Caenorhabditis elegans: one gene and its partner. The protein of the gene in region 1 purifies or fractionates together with the protein of each later gene. This does not show direct contact. Each region holds a gene or a part of one and is shown in the gene's direction. Other genes may lie near its edges.

What was found.
Region 2: the proteins of ehbp-1 (region 1) and homt-1 fractionate together in Caenorhabditis elegans (co-fractionation; one large-scale study listed by BioGRID). This does not show direct contact.

Annotation. Positions count from the first base shown.
Region 1 is NC_003283.11:9,548,857-9,556,801, forward strand, and holds ehbp-1 (EH domain-binding protein 1), read left to right. Parts: upstream 1-1,787; coding exon 1,788-1,862; intron 1,863-1,904; coding exon 1,905-1,969; intron 1,970-2,141; coding exon 2,142-2,596; intron 2,597-2,647; coding exon 2,648-2,776; intron 2,777-3,096; coding exon 3,097-3,316; intron 3,317-3,365; coding exon 3,366-4,053; intron 4,054-4,503; coding exon 4,504-4,669; intron 4,670-4,769; coding exon 4,770-4,847; intron 4,848-4,925; coding exon 4,926-4,985; intron 4,986-5,078; coding exon 5,079-5,140; intron 5,141-5,762; coding exon 5,763-5,882; intron 5,883-5,996; coding exon 5,997-6,152; intron 6,153-6,200; coding exon 6,201-6,514; intron 6,515-6,771; coding exon 6,772-6,889; 3' UTR 6,890-7,176; downstream 7,177-7,945. Other genes in the region: nstp-10 (GDP-fucose transporter), read right to left, coding at 1-52, 99-184, 954-980; rgef-1 (Ras guanyl-releasing protein 3), read right to left, coding at 7,860-7,945.
Region 2 is NC_003279.8:4,029-12,157, reverse strand, and holds homt-1 (Alpha N-terminal protein methyltransferase 1), read left to right. Parts: upstream 1-1,927; 5' UTR 1,928-2,009; coding exon 2,010-2,063; intron 2,064-2,311; coding exon 2,312-2,431; intron 2,432-5,830; coding exon 5,831-6,121; intron 6,122-6,861; coding exon 6,862-6,963; intron 6,964-7,799; coding exon 7,800-7,937; 3' UTR 7,938-8,042; downstream 8,043-8,129. Other genes in the region: nlp-40 (Peptide P4), read right to left, coding at 469-517. UniProt on the Caenorhabditis elegans protein: Alpha-N-methyltransferase that methylates the N-terminus of target proteins containing the N-terminal motif [Ala/Pro/Ser]-Pro-Lys when the initiator Met is cleaved.

The DNA of each region.
Region 1 (7,945 bases):
CACACTAGACAGCAAATACTTGTTGAGAAACACTAATCCTATTGAGAAGACCCTGAAATTGGAAAATTTAGTTGAATAAAGAAACCTGAATAGCGTACCAATATGCTGAAACAGCTGTGATGACCTGCTTGTAACTCTCCCATTTGGTTGGATTCTCACGATTTCTCATAGCTTCGAAGAGGGCCTAAATTAGAATGAAACGTTTATGAATGGTAGTTAAGGCGGGAGGCAGGACAAACATAGAACGTGGAAAACGTAGAAATGGAAGAGGACGAGAAACAGGCAACACCCGACAACTAGGCCATTGTTGTCGAGTTAATTGCGGGCATTGCTGCCGCAGTTTCTGCTCGATTATTCAGCTTTCTAAGGTTTTAAAGAGTTTGAATTCGTATAAAAATTATTTATAATTAATTGAGACATTTGTAAAAGTTTAACAAAGGTGAAAAAGTAGTTTGTTCACAATAAAATTAACAATATCGTGAGTAATTCTTTACCTGCTTAAGAAATAATCAATATCGAAATCGGCTTTTAACTTTTTTAAAAATATAATTTAATTTTTTAATTTGTGAGAATACAAACGCATTTATGGAGGGAATTACCAAGGAAATAAAAGAAATAAAAGAAAAACCCCTCTGCAAAAATTATTTCGGAAAAAAAATGTTTTCAAACAGAATAACAATGTGCAAACACGGCCACGTCGAATTACACAATATTCTATTTACAGTAACGTGTCTGCGTTTTTGCGTGACTGTGAATGCAGACGCAAAAAGACGTAAACGTTTTTCACGGCCCGGCAAGTGGTACATCCATGCAAATGCGCTCTACTGATAATTGGAGTGTAGACCTCTCCAATTTTTTATATGCATCATAAAAAAATACCACTTCTCGGGCCGTGTTTTTTAGACCAATTTTTGAAAACGGTTTTTCAATATATTGTTGCAATAAATATCTACTTTGTTGTTTTCTTCATGCAGTTTCATCGTATTAAATTAATTTTTGTCAAACAATCACTGTGGTTATGCATATAGTTCTCGATCAAACCATTTATGTTCCTCACGTTTATTAAATATCGCATTTTCGATAGCTCCTCATGTTTTCTGAAAACGTTACTTAATGGTGTTTTCAGAATAAAAATTAACTTATTTATTCTGACTGCCATTTTTTGTTTATGGGAGAACACTTGAACTTCGACGGCGCGCTGAGCAGAGTTAGTGTAACGGGCGCTGGCAGCTGACTGATACATAACGACGAACACTCGAAAAGTAGCACTTGTAACTAAATGCTAAATCGAAAACCTACCGAGAGCGTGAGAGATGGCAAGAAGTGGCCATAAATCTTTGTATCGGCGGTCTCAAGTGACCAATCCAACTCGATCTAGTAACATTACACGATGCTCTACTGTCAGATTGTTTTTGTTATTCTCTCCTCTCCCTTTCAGTTTTACTAAATTTCTATTGTTCATTTTCTTTAAAATAATACAAATTCTTGTGAATCACTGGATAAAATAACATATTTCAGACCTTCTCTTTGGAGCTCCAAATGCTCTTTTCTTTTTACCTCTGTCACTCTCTTTTCCTTCTAGTCTATCGCCTCTCGCTCATTTTATCAAATCTTCTCGCCGCCGTTGTCGAATGAGGAGGAGGAAGACGGCTGCGCCCATTCCTCTCGGTTTCCGCCGCCTTTCCTTTCTTCTCATCTCCTCAAATATCCATTTCCGTACGACAAATCGAAAAGAAATTCTTCGCATTACGCACCTGATTACCATTGTTTTAACATATAAATTGCAGATGGCGGGTATTCTTCGTCGACTTCGGAGATCCAATAAGAAAGCTGCCAAATTTAGATTTACAGTTACTCTTCAGGTTCGTTCTTGATACTTTTATCTCAATTGTTTATTATTTTAGGAATTACATCTCTACACCGACGAACAATGGAAACCAGAAAACCTTGCAGTTTCTTTCGTTCATAGGTGAATACATTTTCTTATCAAAGAATAATAAATGTCAATCAGAAAATAGACACAATGCATCATGATCATTATGGAAATTTGAAAAAAAAAGAAAAATATTCACAAGAAAATAATACGAATCGAAAATAAATAAAAAATTGTTCATGAAACCTTTATCATACAATTTTTACAGACGACGAAAAGTATCATCAAAGGAACGAAAATGGGAAGAATGTTCGGACGCTAACAAATGTTTGATTATGTGGCCTGAGCAATTTTCAGAGAATATAGATATTCTTACAACATTATATCGTATTGCAAGTGATGAATATGAAGATAAAGAATGGACGATTGTTGTTGAAGAAGTAACTGCTAAAGGAAAAAGAAAAGCAATTGCAGCAGTGCCACTCAATGTTCGCTTATTTATTCTGGATCTACCCGATCATAAAAGTGAACTGAAGCTCAAGCTCCGTCCATTGACGCCTCATTTGAAATTGTGTTCCCTGATTATTCTTCTTGGAAGTTCTCTTATTTCGGAAGTAAATGCAGATGATGTTAGTATTACTTCGTCAGCTGCAGCCTCTTTTGTTGAAAAAGTTCCAGTAACAGATGAAGTTGATGCGAGTGCAAATGATTCCAGAGCAGCAGGTATTTTGATTGAAAAAATACAGTTTATTTCACATAATTTGTTTTTTTAAGCTGCAAGACAACAAATCGACACGACAGCTACAAAAATGATGGAATGGATCAAAGAGGAAAAGGAAATCGCTCCGCCTATTGTTCCAGCACACCGAAAACCTTCCGGAGAGAATGAAAACCCTGCAAAAGGTAATTAGAAATCGTTTTTTAAACCTAATCGTTAGAATTTTTGGCTAGAATATTTTCATGGAAAAAAGTCATATAGCCTAAATTCGTGTGTGGTCATCAAAAAATTTGTAGATTTTTTTCATTTTTTTTTCAAGGAACATCGAAAATCGAAAAAAAAATTCGAAAATTATCCAGAAAATGATATATCAAAATTTGTTTATGTTGATGAAGAAAAAGGATTAAAAAAACCAAAATAAATACTCGAAATTTTTTTTTTCAATTTTTCGGAAAACGAAAAATCGAAAAACCGACACCCGTGGCTCTTATAGAATGTATTTCAGTTCGTCCCCAATGGAGAGTATCAGCTGAAGAAGAAAAAACGTCACAACCAGCAGCTCCAGCGCCAATTGCAACCAACAGACATAGTCGGTCAAGCCGTGCTTCGACAGAAGAAAAAGCGTCTACAACAATAGAATTCCGTGTGGATTCCAATTCTCGGCATGTTCCAGTTACAGCAATCGCTACACCATATTATCTTCAAAGTGGAACAATGAGTAGAGGGTATTGTTTGGTTACTTTTCTCACAATCATAATTTTTTTTCAATTTCAGAAGATCAAATTCTCCGAGAGCTCCATCTAGAGATGCTGTCCCTCAACCGATCGATGGAGAGACTTTACTTTCATGGTGTCAGAGAGTTACTAACGGATATTCGCATGTAAAAGTTAATGATTTTATGAAATCTTGGAACAACGGATTGGCCTTGTGTGCAGTTCTTCATTCTTATCGCCCGGATCTCATTGGAGATTACGAAACACTGGATATCTCTAATAATATGTCTGGACGCATTTCGAATATTCAAAGAGCCCTCGATTCACTTACTTTGATAGGAATAACAGAAGTACCAACAGTTGATATGTTTCTGACTCCTGATCGGAAACAAATAGAATTTCTTCTTCAACATCTTCGCCGAATCTTTGAAGGATTTGACGAGGGATCTACACCAGCCAGTGCTTCTGATCACAGAATATCCAGAACATTTGGAATTAATGAATCCGAAGAAAAAGTTGTTGCCATGATTACAGAAATTCGAAATCAAAAAGATCTCGAAGAAGCTGTGGATTATAGACACATTCCTGATGAAGTTCCTGTTACACCACAGTTGGCTAGTCGCAATCCGGCTCTCAATCAACCAACTGACGCTGATGACGATGATGCTGAAACTTCAAATATGCGCTTTGAGAGAAGTAATGTAAGCATAACCATGGTGACTCCAGGAGTTGGAGCAATTCGTGCATCGGTGAGTTTTTATTGAAAAAAAAAATTTTAAAATTTTAAATATTTAGTTTTTGTTTTTTTGTTGAATTTCGAATTGAATAATGCTAATTATTTAAAATAGTTATTGAAATCTTTTTTCACTTCAATTCTACCATTTTTAAGATACTTTGTGTGTATAATATAACTGAAATTATAGGAAAAAAACAGGTTCTTTCAATCGTCAGATTTCTTGGTATATTTTCTTATTTTATTTTTTTAATGCAATTTATAAGGTTATACATAACTGAACATTTCCTACTACCATATAACAGCTTGATAAAAATTGCGACACAACTTAAAAAACTTATTAAATACTCGCCCTTATAAAACTCAATTACATTTGTTCCCAGCGAAATAGTCTAATCAATTCTTTTTCCTAATAGATATCCAATTTTACGAGATTCTTATTTTTGAAAATCTTTACAACTTTCAGAATCGTGCATCACCTTCAAAGCGAGATGAACTACGCCAAAGAGCACGTGATTTAATTGAAAAATCAACAACTCCTGCAGCAACACCAAATTCACGGAAAGCGAGTGATGAAGAGAGAAGACGCGAAGAGGTCAGACGGATGCTGAACGAAAAGCAGCATCCAACGGGTGAGAAGTTTTTAAAAACACAAAAGTTGTCGTGATTCTCTATAGTAATCTCCTTTGTTGTGATTGTTTTAATTATTTCTACCGTGTGTTCCCATTTCAGCAATCCCCTCTACTTCATCATCACCATATCCCACTTTCCGTCGTATCGATGGATCAAATACCGATCTTCGTCGTATTGGTTTGTAACATTTTCAGATCATGCTCCGATTTAATTGTTTTAGTGTTGTGACAAAGCATGTAGTGAATTTATTTTCAGAACTCGATGTACACAAGTTCAAGAAACGTGATCCATCTCCGACGCTCGTCCGCAAACAATGTACATTTTATTATTTCCTCATAGTGCAGTGATTTTTAACATGTCAATTGCATTATTAGGAACAATTTCATCTTAATTTTGTTTTAATTACAGACGATCCCAATGATACTCCTCATGTGCCAGCAATTGGTCGTGGCAGAACAAATGGAAATCGGGTCAGTCATTAATATATTTAAATTCTCGGCATTTCGTGCCTACTTTCTCCCACCTTTTCGCCTTCCGGCAAAAAGGTGGGAGAAAGAAGACGCGAAATGCCGAGTTAACAGTTTAATCCCGAATAGAGCATTATTGGCAACACCGATTCAGGAAAAATATGTGTACCTTTAAAGATACAGTTACTTCAAATCCTCGTTGGTGAGGTATTTTCATAGATTTTTCATAGTTTTTCGATAAAACTTTTTTTTTTATAAAAAACTAAAATAAAACAATAAAACACACATAAATTTAAAAAAAAACTATGAAGAATCGATGAAATATCGACAAATACGAGAGCTTGAAACCTTGCGTCAAGACCAGCTACCGTATATTTTGTCGCAAACTATTTTGTCAGTGTAATAAGTTGTCTGATTTTCAATTTTAAACATTTGAGTATTATTTTAAGCTTTAAATATGAATGTTGTCAATTAGCTGTCAATACCACTAGCAATCCTCATTTCTATCTAACCATAATTTTTCTTTCGTCGATATTATCTTTAGTTCTTCTCTGTTCTATATTTTCTTTTTTATCATACACCGCATTGTACAGTATGCCTAACAAGTGTTTTGCTCACATTTCAGAACGATTCATCAACTCCTTCATCAGCTTCTACATTTGATCGTGTCAAGAGATATGGGAGTATGCGTAGTGCAGAATTGAAAGAATCGTTGCAGTTGATGGCGAAACAATACGGATACATGGTTTGTGATGTTGTAAAAAGTGTAATGTAATGATTTTTGCTTCTATTTTAATCAACATAAAATTTAATCATGGGTGCAAATTGAAAGTTACCGTCTAAATGTTATTATTTTTAGGGAAACGATTTCGAATCATCTTCGCAAGACGCTCTGGCGACACCAACCAAAAAGTTCTCTTCCCAATGGGAAAAAGACGTCGATGACGTTGAAGGAACCGCCAATGAGCTTGTTCGTATTGACGAACGTATATCGGATATTACAGCACAAGCCGATGTAAGATTCTGAGAATTAAAGGATTAATTCAGTTTGTTTTGTTTTCAGGTTATTCAAGACAAGATCCGTGAAACAGAAGTTGGAAGTTCAGAAGAAGAAATGTTGACTGCATCATATCTTGAGTTGACAAATGAACGGAACACTCTTGTACATCGACAGGAATACTATAATATCATTGAGACAATTCGTCAGGTTACTTCGGAAATTGACCAATTGGGAAAACAAATCAATGAAGTTCCTGATGATTTCCCTCGTTCTGATGAGAATAAGACGGCAACGGATAAACTGATTGAACAATATAGTGATGCTATGAAAACAAAAAGTAACTTGGTTCAAAAGTTATTTGCAACTGAGGACGAAATGTAAGTGTTTATTGCTTTGTTGAACCACGTGGTGTCAGGCTGTCCCATCACGGTTTGATCTACAAAAAATGCTGGAATTTTTCGCCTAAGAAAGTGCCGTCAGCACGTTCTTAACCATGCGAAATCAGTTGAGAACTCTTCGTCTCAACTTCCGAATTTTTTGTAGATCTACGTAGATCAAACCGAATGGGACATTCTGACACCACGTAATAAACTACTTTCAGTGAAACTAATGAAACAACATTCGAAATTTTCAGCGAAGAAGATTCGGATCGTTTGAAGAACCTTACTTTGGATAGGGCTACTCGCTTTGTTCGTGGAATAGATCAGCCTGTTTCAGCATCGAAGCGACTTATTCAATGGTGGCGCCGTTAATACGCTTCAACGTTATTTATTACTCAATTTAAAACTACGGGTCTTCTTCTCTTTCTGAAAACAAAGTTTCTCCCAGTGTCCCTTTGTTATCTTCTATCATTTTTTCTCCTTTCCATAATTCACTCTTTCCCGTTTTTTTGGCAAATTTTTAGGAGTTAATCAAAACATCAAATTTTTCTCTATCTTTTCATCTCTATGTGTATATTTTTGTATTCAGTTTTCTTTTCTCTCGGTGCACACAAATCCAAATGCTTTCAGCTTTCAATAAATCAATTCAGAGTTTTAAATGATGTTCAGCAAAAATTCATTCGAAAAAAGAGGAAAGTGTGTGGAAGACTGGTGAAAAATACTTTACACGTGGAAATATTTAGCGTAGAGATCAAACAAGTGGGATAGGAAAAAGCAAGCTCGAATTGTGAGGGAATGTACTGAAAGAAAAAACAAATAAATTTGAGAAATTGAGTGATATGGTTAAAAAATGAATCGCATTTTGCAGGAAAAAATACTCGTATGCATTAATTTGAAGAAAAATAGATGAGAAGAATAAACTTAATATTGTACTCTCATATTACGAGAACACTAAATCCTGAGAAGGCGTATTGCGCAACATATTTGACGCGCAAAATATCTGACCGAAAACTACAGTAACTTTTTAAATGACTACTGTAGTGCTGGTGTCGATTTACGGGATCGATTTTCACTTATGTTCGAATTGCGACAGTGATATTCAGTTTTTCGTATTGTTTTGTCATTTTTGTGTTTCTTTTAATATTTAATCGATTAATAAAATGTTTCCGTAAATCGACACTAGCGCTACGGTATTCATTTAAAGTGTTACTGTAGTTTTCGCTACGGGATATTTTGCGCGTCAAATATGTTGCGCAACACGCATTCCCAGAATTCAGTGTTTGTGTAATATATTCTTGCTAAAAATAAAGAGAGTGCAGAGAAAGAGATAGATGGAGACAAATCAGGCGGTACGGTATGACGCAGATGAAATATCTGCTAGATCATCATCTTCGAAGACTTCTTCACAAGCAAGGCTTACAAGACCAA
Region 2 (8,129 bases), on another chromosome or scaffold:
CGTGAAGTTGAATACCTAGAAAAGATGAAAATGTGTTTTGATACAGTGCATACAGTACTTGTTTCAAGTATAAAACTAATTTTATTAATTAAACGTTTTTCTGTAATAAATTCTAAATTCTTACCACTTTCGAGCATTCAAAAGCATAATTTCAGACAAGAATTTCCAGACTCCCAGAGGTCCGTTGCAGAATTTGAAAGCATATTCTTGTAGCCAATGATCTCAGCTTCCGTTTGGCATATGTGGCGTCTCTAGGTACCTCACCCCTAAGCTGACCTAGTCAGAATTTTCATTGATTTTTCATAAAGAAGAAGTCGTGAGAAAAACGATGAATTGATGAAAATTAAGCAGAAACGAAAATTCGAAACTACATTACTCACTGCTTTTCGAATTTAACAAAAATATTGCCATACCGAGACCGGCAACTGTATTTTTGGCGGAAAAGTATTATCTAAAGCATAAACTCACCAAAAACCGCAACTGTCGCAACAAAAGATAGCAGAATTACGAGTTTCATGTTGATTGTGTATGTTTGGCTTACTGTAAATGAAATTTTTTTTTTCGAAAGAAACAATTATAATTTTAAAAAATCATACGTTCTTCTCGATCTCTAGAACCGAAGAAGTTTGGGTGGCGCTGGAGGGTGACGCGGCAAGAATGAGTAGCTCTCGGAGCCGCCGTTCAGGCCACGCCCTGCTCTAGGGGGCGGGCATGCGCAACAAGGGCCGTCACGAGAAAGAGAAGGAAAAAATAAGGATGACCTATGTGCCCTTCTAGAACATTGAAGATAATCAAAAGCGATGAAAAATTGATGACGTCATCAGCTCGCCGCGAAAAAAGAGCGGCGTTGCGCGCCAAAAGTGTGAAAGACTGAAAGTGTTATCAGTACCATGTAAGATAGGGGGGGGGGGGGGGGTTTATGTCGAGAAGGCATACACAGGTGGAGTCTTTCAAAATTAGACACAGAAATTATTGGAGAAGAATAGAGCGGGGCAAACACTATTTTTGGGTTTCCGTGTTTTTTTTTCCGCTTCGTTTTCTCTTCCAGTGACGCATTGTCTCTGAATTGGAAATACAAGAGTCTCACCTATACCTGGAGGCCTCCATGGAGGTCGTAATGTTTGTCGGAGTAGAGTTATTACGGGAAAATATTTTACGCGCAAAATATCTCGTAGCGAAAACTAATGATTACTGTAGCACATGTGTCGATCTACGGGCTCGAATGAAATTAAATTAATTCAAATCATTTATTTATTTATTTAGAATATTAATTGAGCGAAAAAATGTAATTAAAAATTCATTCCTGAAAATCGAGATTCCGTAAATCGACACAAGCGCGCTACAATAGTCATCAGTTTTCGCTACCTTAAAACTTGCAAATTTCCGCGACTTTTCAAACCAATCAGCGACTTCGAACTCCGCCTACTCGATCTGATTGGCCGGAATATGGGGCGGAACGAATCTCTGTTCGGTCGCAGTTCTAATTTTGGAGGGAGTTACGGACATAATTTAATAATAGATTAAATATTAGAAGAAAACAGAAAAATGGCAAAAAATACGAAAAGACTATACCAAATTGAATATGGCTGTCACAATTCGAGCAGAAATTCGTTTCGAGAATCGAGCCCGTAAGTCAACACAAAGGCTACAGTAGTCTTTTGAAGAATTGCTGTAGTTTTCGCTGAGCGTCAAATATGTTGCAGCAATGAGAGTTACAAACTACAGTACTCTTTAAAGGTGCATACCTTCACATTTAACAAAAATAGTCGTGTCGAGACCGTATGCCGTAAATCGACACTGATAGCCGTGGCCTAGTTTTCCAGATTTTTCTTGTGTTTCTCTTCCATTAAAAAAACGCACATGTCTGTTTATCTTTCTCGTAATAATTTTCCCGATGAACTAGTAAATATAAATATCTCATTTCCAGTATCATCATCATATCCGTGACCTCTCGTCTTTTCGTCACAAAAGTCTCCAGATTGCTCGGAGCAGCTGTCACAACATCAAAAATGAGCTCTTCATCATCTTCTAGAATTCACAATGGTGAAGATGTTTATGAAAAGGTACAAAATCAAAAAGTTCGGCCAGCACGCAAATCTTTTGCGGAGAATTTTAGACCAAAAATTAAAAAAAAAACCGAAACATTTTTTGAAAAAAAACTTTTTTATTTAAAATTATCGAAAATACTAAGTTTTTCTGAAAAAAGCTGAAAATTTGAAAAAAAAACTCTATAACATGTAAGAATTTTTGAAAAAAACTAAAAAAAAAATTTTTAAGTCTCAAAACAATGTTTTCAACTATTCTCTTTCAGGCGGAGGAATACTGGAGCCGCGCGAGCCAGGACGTCAACGGAATGCTCGGCGGATTCGAAGCGCTTCACGCGCCCGACATATCGGCGTCGAAACGATTTATTGAAGGACTGAAGAAAAAGGTATAGAAATCATCGATTTTTCAGGAAAAGCAAGAAAGATCGGTTTAAAAAATTATGAAATTTTATTTTAAAAATCGAAAAATCAACAAAAAAAATCGAAATTTTAGAATTTTTCTAAAATCGGTAGTTTTCGAAATAAAATAAAAATGTTATTTTAAAAATTATTTTAAAAAATTTCGAGAAATTCAAAAATCGAACAGAAATGTTCGATTTTTTGCTACAGTGCATTTTTTTTCCACTTCTACGACTTTAAAGGGGGGCGCATTTATGCGGAAGGGTCTTGCCGTGCACATAGTCATCATTTTTAACAAAGTCTGCTCAAAATTCGCGGAGATCACGCGTAGATCACAATTAATTTGTGAAAAAGCAACAGAAATACGAAATATGGGATAAATATTTTGTGATCTTCATGTGATCTACGCGAATTTTACACAGAAACTGCTAAAAATGATGACTAAATGCGCGGCAAGACCCTTCCGCATAAATGCTCCCCCCTTTAAAGTCGTAGAAGTAGGAAAAAATGCACTGTATGGTGAATTTGAAAATTTTCTAAAAATCCGAATAATTTAGTATATTGGGGTTTCGACGAAAAATGCCAATTTTTCAGTAATTTCTGGTCTTTTCTAAAAAAATCTACATATTTCAGATCTCTTCCTCCTTTTCCGAGTTTTTTCGTTATTTTTTCTAAACTCACAGTATATTAGCGAATTTTCAACAAATTCGACAAAAAATTCTGACTGTTTTCTAGAAAAAAAAAAAGGCGGCATGCGCAAGTTTCAAAATTTGCCGCACACCTCTGGGCATTACCTTGAAAGTATCAATGGAAAAGTGTCGCAAGATTTAATTTTCTGATATTCCCCCCCCCCCTCCCGTTTTACTTGTTTCTAGGTTTGAGTTTACTTAAATTAATAACAAAACTGGGAGATATATGCTCGAAAATTAGACAGAATCTCTGCCTGGACGATTTCTAGGCTACGCCGTCATTCCCATAGTTTTCATAATCTTTCGGCTCAGTGATCGAAGCTCGCCGCGCCAGCCGGCACAGTAAGATTTAAAATCAGGTTATCACCCCATGCGTGAAGATTTTTTTCGTGTTTTTTGTCTGAAAAATAATGACAAATCTGTGTTTGGGTAGGCCTAATGAGGTCACCTGATTACGGCTGATGAGCAAAGCAGAACTTTTTTTGCAAAAAACTTATCATTGGGGGGTTCTGAGAAATAGACGAATTTCTGAGAAAGTTATGAGAAATAAATAGACGGCCTAAAAACCCCATGGCCGAAGCTTTTTTCTAGATAGCATAATGATGGCCTAGAAAAAACTCTACCACTGGAGAAACTTAATCGGTGTGCTCATTTTCTACCTGGTCGGGGATTTTGGAAAACTTTTCCACACCTCGTAACGACTTGAGGATAACTCAGCTCTGTCGAAATAGCATCCTGATGGCCTAGGAAAAGCTCTTCCACTGAAAATGTTTGGTCGTCCTGTCTATTTCTCTCATGGTCGAAGATTTTCAAAACTCTTCCACAGCTCCGAACGACGACCTGTAGTCACGATCAGGATTTGGAGGTCAATTCTCCTCGTACGATATCTTCTCACCTGAAAACTAGGTGAATTCCGTCGTGTGGAGCCTGAACGCTTCCCATTTTCACGTGACCGAAAATTTTGTAAGACCTCTTCCACCTCGAATTTCTCGGCAGAAGTGGGGTACTGTAATCTCAATTTTCTGGCAGATGCTCCAAAATGTTAATTTCTGTAATTTTCGAATTTTCGATGCACCATGTCTGAAATAATACCAGCTGGAAGAGTTTTCCAATTTTCTAGGCTACGCGGCAATTTCTGACCTTTTAGAAAGTTGTTGCAATATAGGTTTGCTATGAAAAATTCAATTAAATCTTTTTCCGAGTCTTCTTTCCCGGAAATCAAATAAAACGCCGAAACTTTTTTCTCATTTTCTTTTGATGGAAAATGAGAAAACACGGCAGATTTTCAATATTACTTTGGCACCCAAAACGCTTTTTGTTTTCAGAGAATGATTCTTTCTTGTTGTTTGCCAACGCACGCCACACATTACCACATATGACGAATCTTCCGCTTGTTTCGAAAATGACTTTCAATGGGGAGAGAAAGGGGAATATTCTTGAAATATGAGGCAAAAGTTGCGATTTTTTTGGAGTTGACTGATGGGAAATGCGCATAAAAAGGCGGTGAAAGGCTAAAAGTTTGTAAATCTGGTGTAAAAACTCGGATCCTAGAAATATACCCAAATTTAATGAGGTCTGAACTGAAATTTTCTGTATTTATTTTAAATTTATTATACTCAGAGAAGGAGTGAAGGTTCGGAATTTTTCTATAGACCCTATTTATTTTCCTGATTCCGAATATCAATGTGAAAAAATTAAAACAAATTTTCCTCATTTTCATAAATTTTTGTAACCAAGTGTGAAATTCAAACGACAATTTTTGTCGCTTACAAAAATTTATATAAAATCAGGGAATTTTTTTTGAATTTTTCACATTGGTATTCGGAATCAGAGAACATAAATAGGGTATATAGAAACATTTTCGTTTTCCTTTATTTTATAAATTCTGAAATTTTCGTATAAACCACGACACGGCTAACAAATTTGCATGAAAGTTTTTTAGCCTTAAAAAAAACAACATTGAAAGAATGATGAATAATGGTTTTTGACGGAATATAGGCGATAAACGCCAAAAAGTGTCTATCGTATAAATTTTGAGACTGACGGGGGCTATACGTTTATGAGCCGTAGAAAATTTTATTTTCATCAAATTTTTATGAGATTAACATTCGGTCGAACATATAGGGGTTTTCAAACCCCGATTTTGAAAGTATAGGCCCAAATTGTGCTCAAATAAACGAATGTCGTAATAATACTTCTCAAAAATGGTTCAAAGTTTTTTATGTGGCTCAAAATTTCGAAAAATGGCCCAATTACCGAAATTAGACTTTTCGGCAAACGGGAAAAACGGCAAATGCAAAATATTTTTGCCAACTTGTGGGTTTGCACATGTTTTTTTGTTGGAAATTTCAGAATTTCAATTTTTAAAACAACAAAATTGTCCTACATCTATTCTGAAAAGTCAGTAAATTCTATAAAAATATCTGAAGAAAACGGGAAAAAAAATTCAAAAAAGCACTGTGTTTCCGTCTTAATAAAAATTCCTTTGAGAAATTCCTGCAAATTGATATCCGGCAAACGGAAAATCGTCAGTTTGCCTGAATTGAAAATTAAATTTAAAAAAGGTAAATTCGGCGAACCGGCAAATTGTCGTTTTTGTCAAATTTTCGGCAAATTCAGAAAATTGACAATTTGCCGATTTGCTTGAAATTGCCGGTCACCCCTGGGCCAACTTTGAATTTTATAAATATTTTCCAGAATCTATTCGGCTACTTTGACTATGCACTGGACTGCGGAGCGGGTATCGGACGTGTTACAAAGCATCTCTTAATGCCATTCTTCTCGAAAGTTGATATGGAAGACGTCGTCGAGGAGTTGATCACGAAAAGTGATCAATATATTGGAAAACATCCACGAATTGGAGATAAATTCGTCGAAGGACTGCAGACGTTTGCACCGCCCGAACGACGTTATGATTTGATATGGATTCAATGGGTTTCAGGGCATTTGGTTGATGAGGATTTGGTTGATTTCTTTAAAAGATGTGCGGTAAGCACTAGATAGCACTGAAAACTGAAAATATGTTGAAAGTTTATAAATAAGAGGGGGTCTTATTTATTACGTTCATAAATAAAGCATGTAGTTTTTAAACAAAATTCTAGGTAATTGAAATGCTTTGAGTAAAACAGAAAAAAAAATATTTTCGATGCTCCGGTTATTTTTTAAGCGAAATAAAATTGGATTCTTTCTGTAATGAAAAAATAGTAAAAAACAATATTCAACCGAAAAAACTGAGTCTAGAAAATCTGTATCGGTTAAAATTTTTTTTTAAAACAACAATTTTTCACATTAAAAAGTCAATTTCGTACATTTTTTCCGATTAAAAATTTAAATTTAAAAATTAAAAACATTTACTTTTTCGATTTTCTTTCAAAAAAAACCACTGAAAAATCCGGAACATTCGGATTTTTTTTCAATCAATACGATCTCCTTGATTTACAACCTGTTTTATTAAATTTTCAATTTTCCTTTTTATTGAAAAAATCGGGTTTTTAAACTTATGTCCGGTCATTTCCCTAATTTTCAATTTTAAAATTAAACTATTTGCTTACCTGTAATTACAATTTTGACCACAAAACAGAAATTGAAATTTTTCGATTTTTCAGTTTTTTAAAAGATAAAACCCGAAAAACGTGCAGGCCTGGTGGTGGACTCAAAAGTTGAGAAATCTCTGAAAACTGTTTCATTTAAAATAATTCAATTTTTTTAAAATTAATTTTCATTTTCAGAAAGGACTGAAACCTGGTGGATGTATTGTGCTCAAGGATAATGTGACAAATCACGAGAAACGGTTATTCGACGATGATGATCATAGTTGGACGAGAACAGAGGTGCTGGTTTGAGAAAAAATAATAAAAACTTTGAAATTAAAAAAAATTCACAAAAGGCTCATTTTACAAATTATTCTGCAAAAAAAACATTCGAAAACAATTAAAATTTTGAAAAAATGAGAAGGGTGTGTCGATTTACGACGAATTTTTGGACAGTTTGTACAGTTTAAAAAATTTTTGTTTTTGAACCAGTTTTGCCAATTTTTCAAATATTCGCCGAAAAACGGTTCAAATTCACAAATTTTAGCCAAAAACTGTATAAACTTGCCCACGTGTAGTACAAAATCGTTAGTGAATCGACATGCATAAAAAACGCCAAATTCCGAAATATTTAATATTTAAAATTAAAATTCATTTAAAATTGTTGTTTCGTCTCGAAATTTAGAAAATATATTCTGAAAAAGGACATATTTCTTTTATTTTGCCAAAAATTTCAATGTTTTCACCCAGACTCGAAATTTCGCGATATTCGGGTCAAAAATACTGTAATTGGGGTCTCGACACGACACGTTTTTGCGAAATTCGAGCAGGCGTGCACCTTTAAAGAATACTGTAATTTCAAACTATTGTCTCATAGTTTTTTGTTGAAAAGTGATTTATTTAAAGAGAAAAACTATGAAAAATATATGAAAATTCCACAGAAATGAAGTTTTTAAACTACAGTACTTCTTAAAGACACACGCCCGTTTGTATTTCACAAAAATTGTCGTGTCGAGACCCCACTTACTGTAATTTTAGCGCGAAAATCGCAAAACGTCACGTTTGGATAATATCGAAGACAATTTGCACGAAAACAATTTTTTACTAAACATTTTTTAAAACAATTCATTATTCAGCCCGAGCTTCTTAAAGCGTTCGCCGATTCTCAACTGGACATGGTCTCGAAAGCACTGCAAACCGGATTCCCAAAGGAGATTTATCCAGTAAAAATGTATGCATTGAAGCCTCAACACACCGGATTCACCAATAATTGATTTAAATATCGATTTTTATTCGTTTAATTGCAATTTTCCCGAAAATTTCATGTTTTACATGCGTGCTCACGTTATTTCTGTTAAATAAATGTTAAGCAATATTTTAGATGATATTCTGTTGAAAATTTTATTCAAAATTGGTCAATAATCGCTGAAAAGCGCTGAAAAATGACCAAAAACAAAGATTCCCCC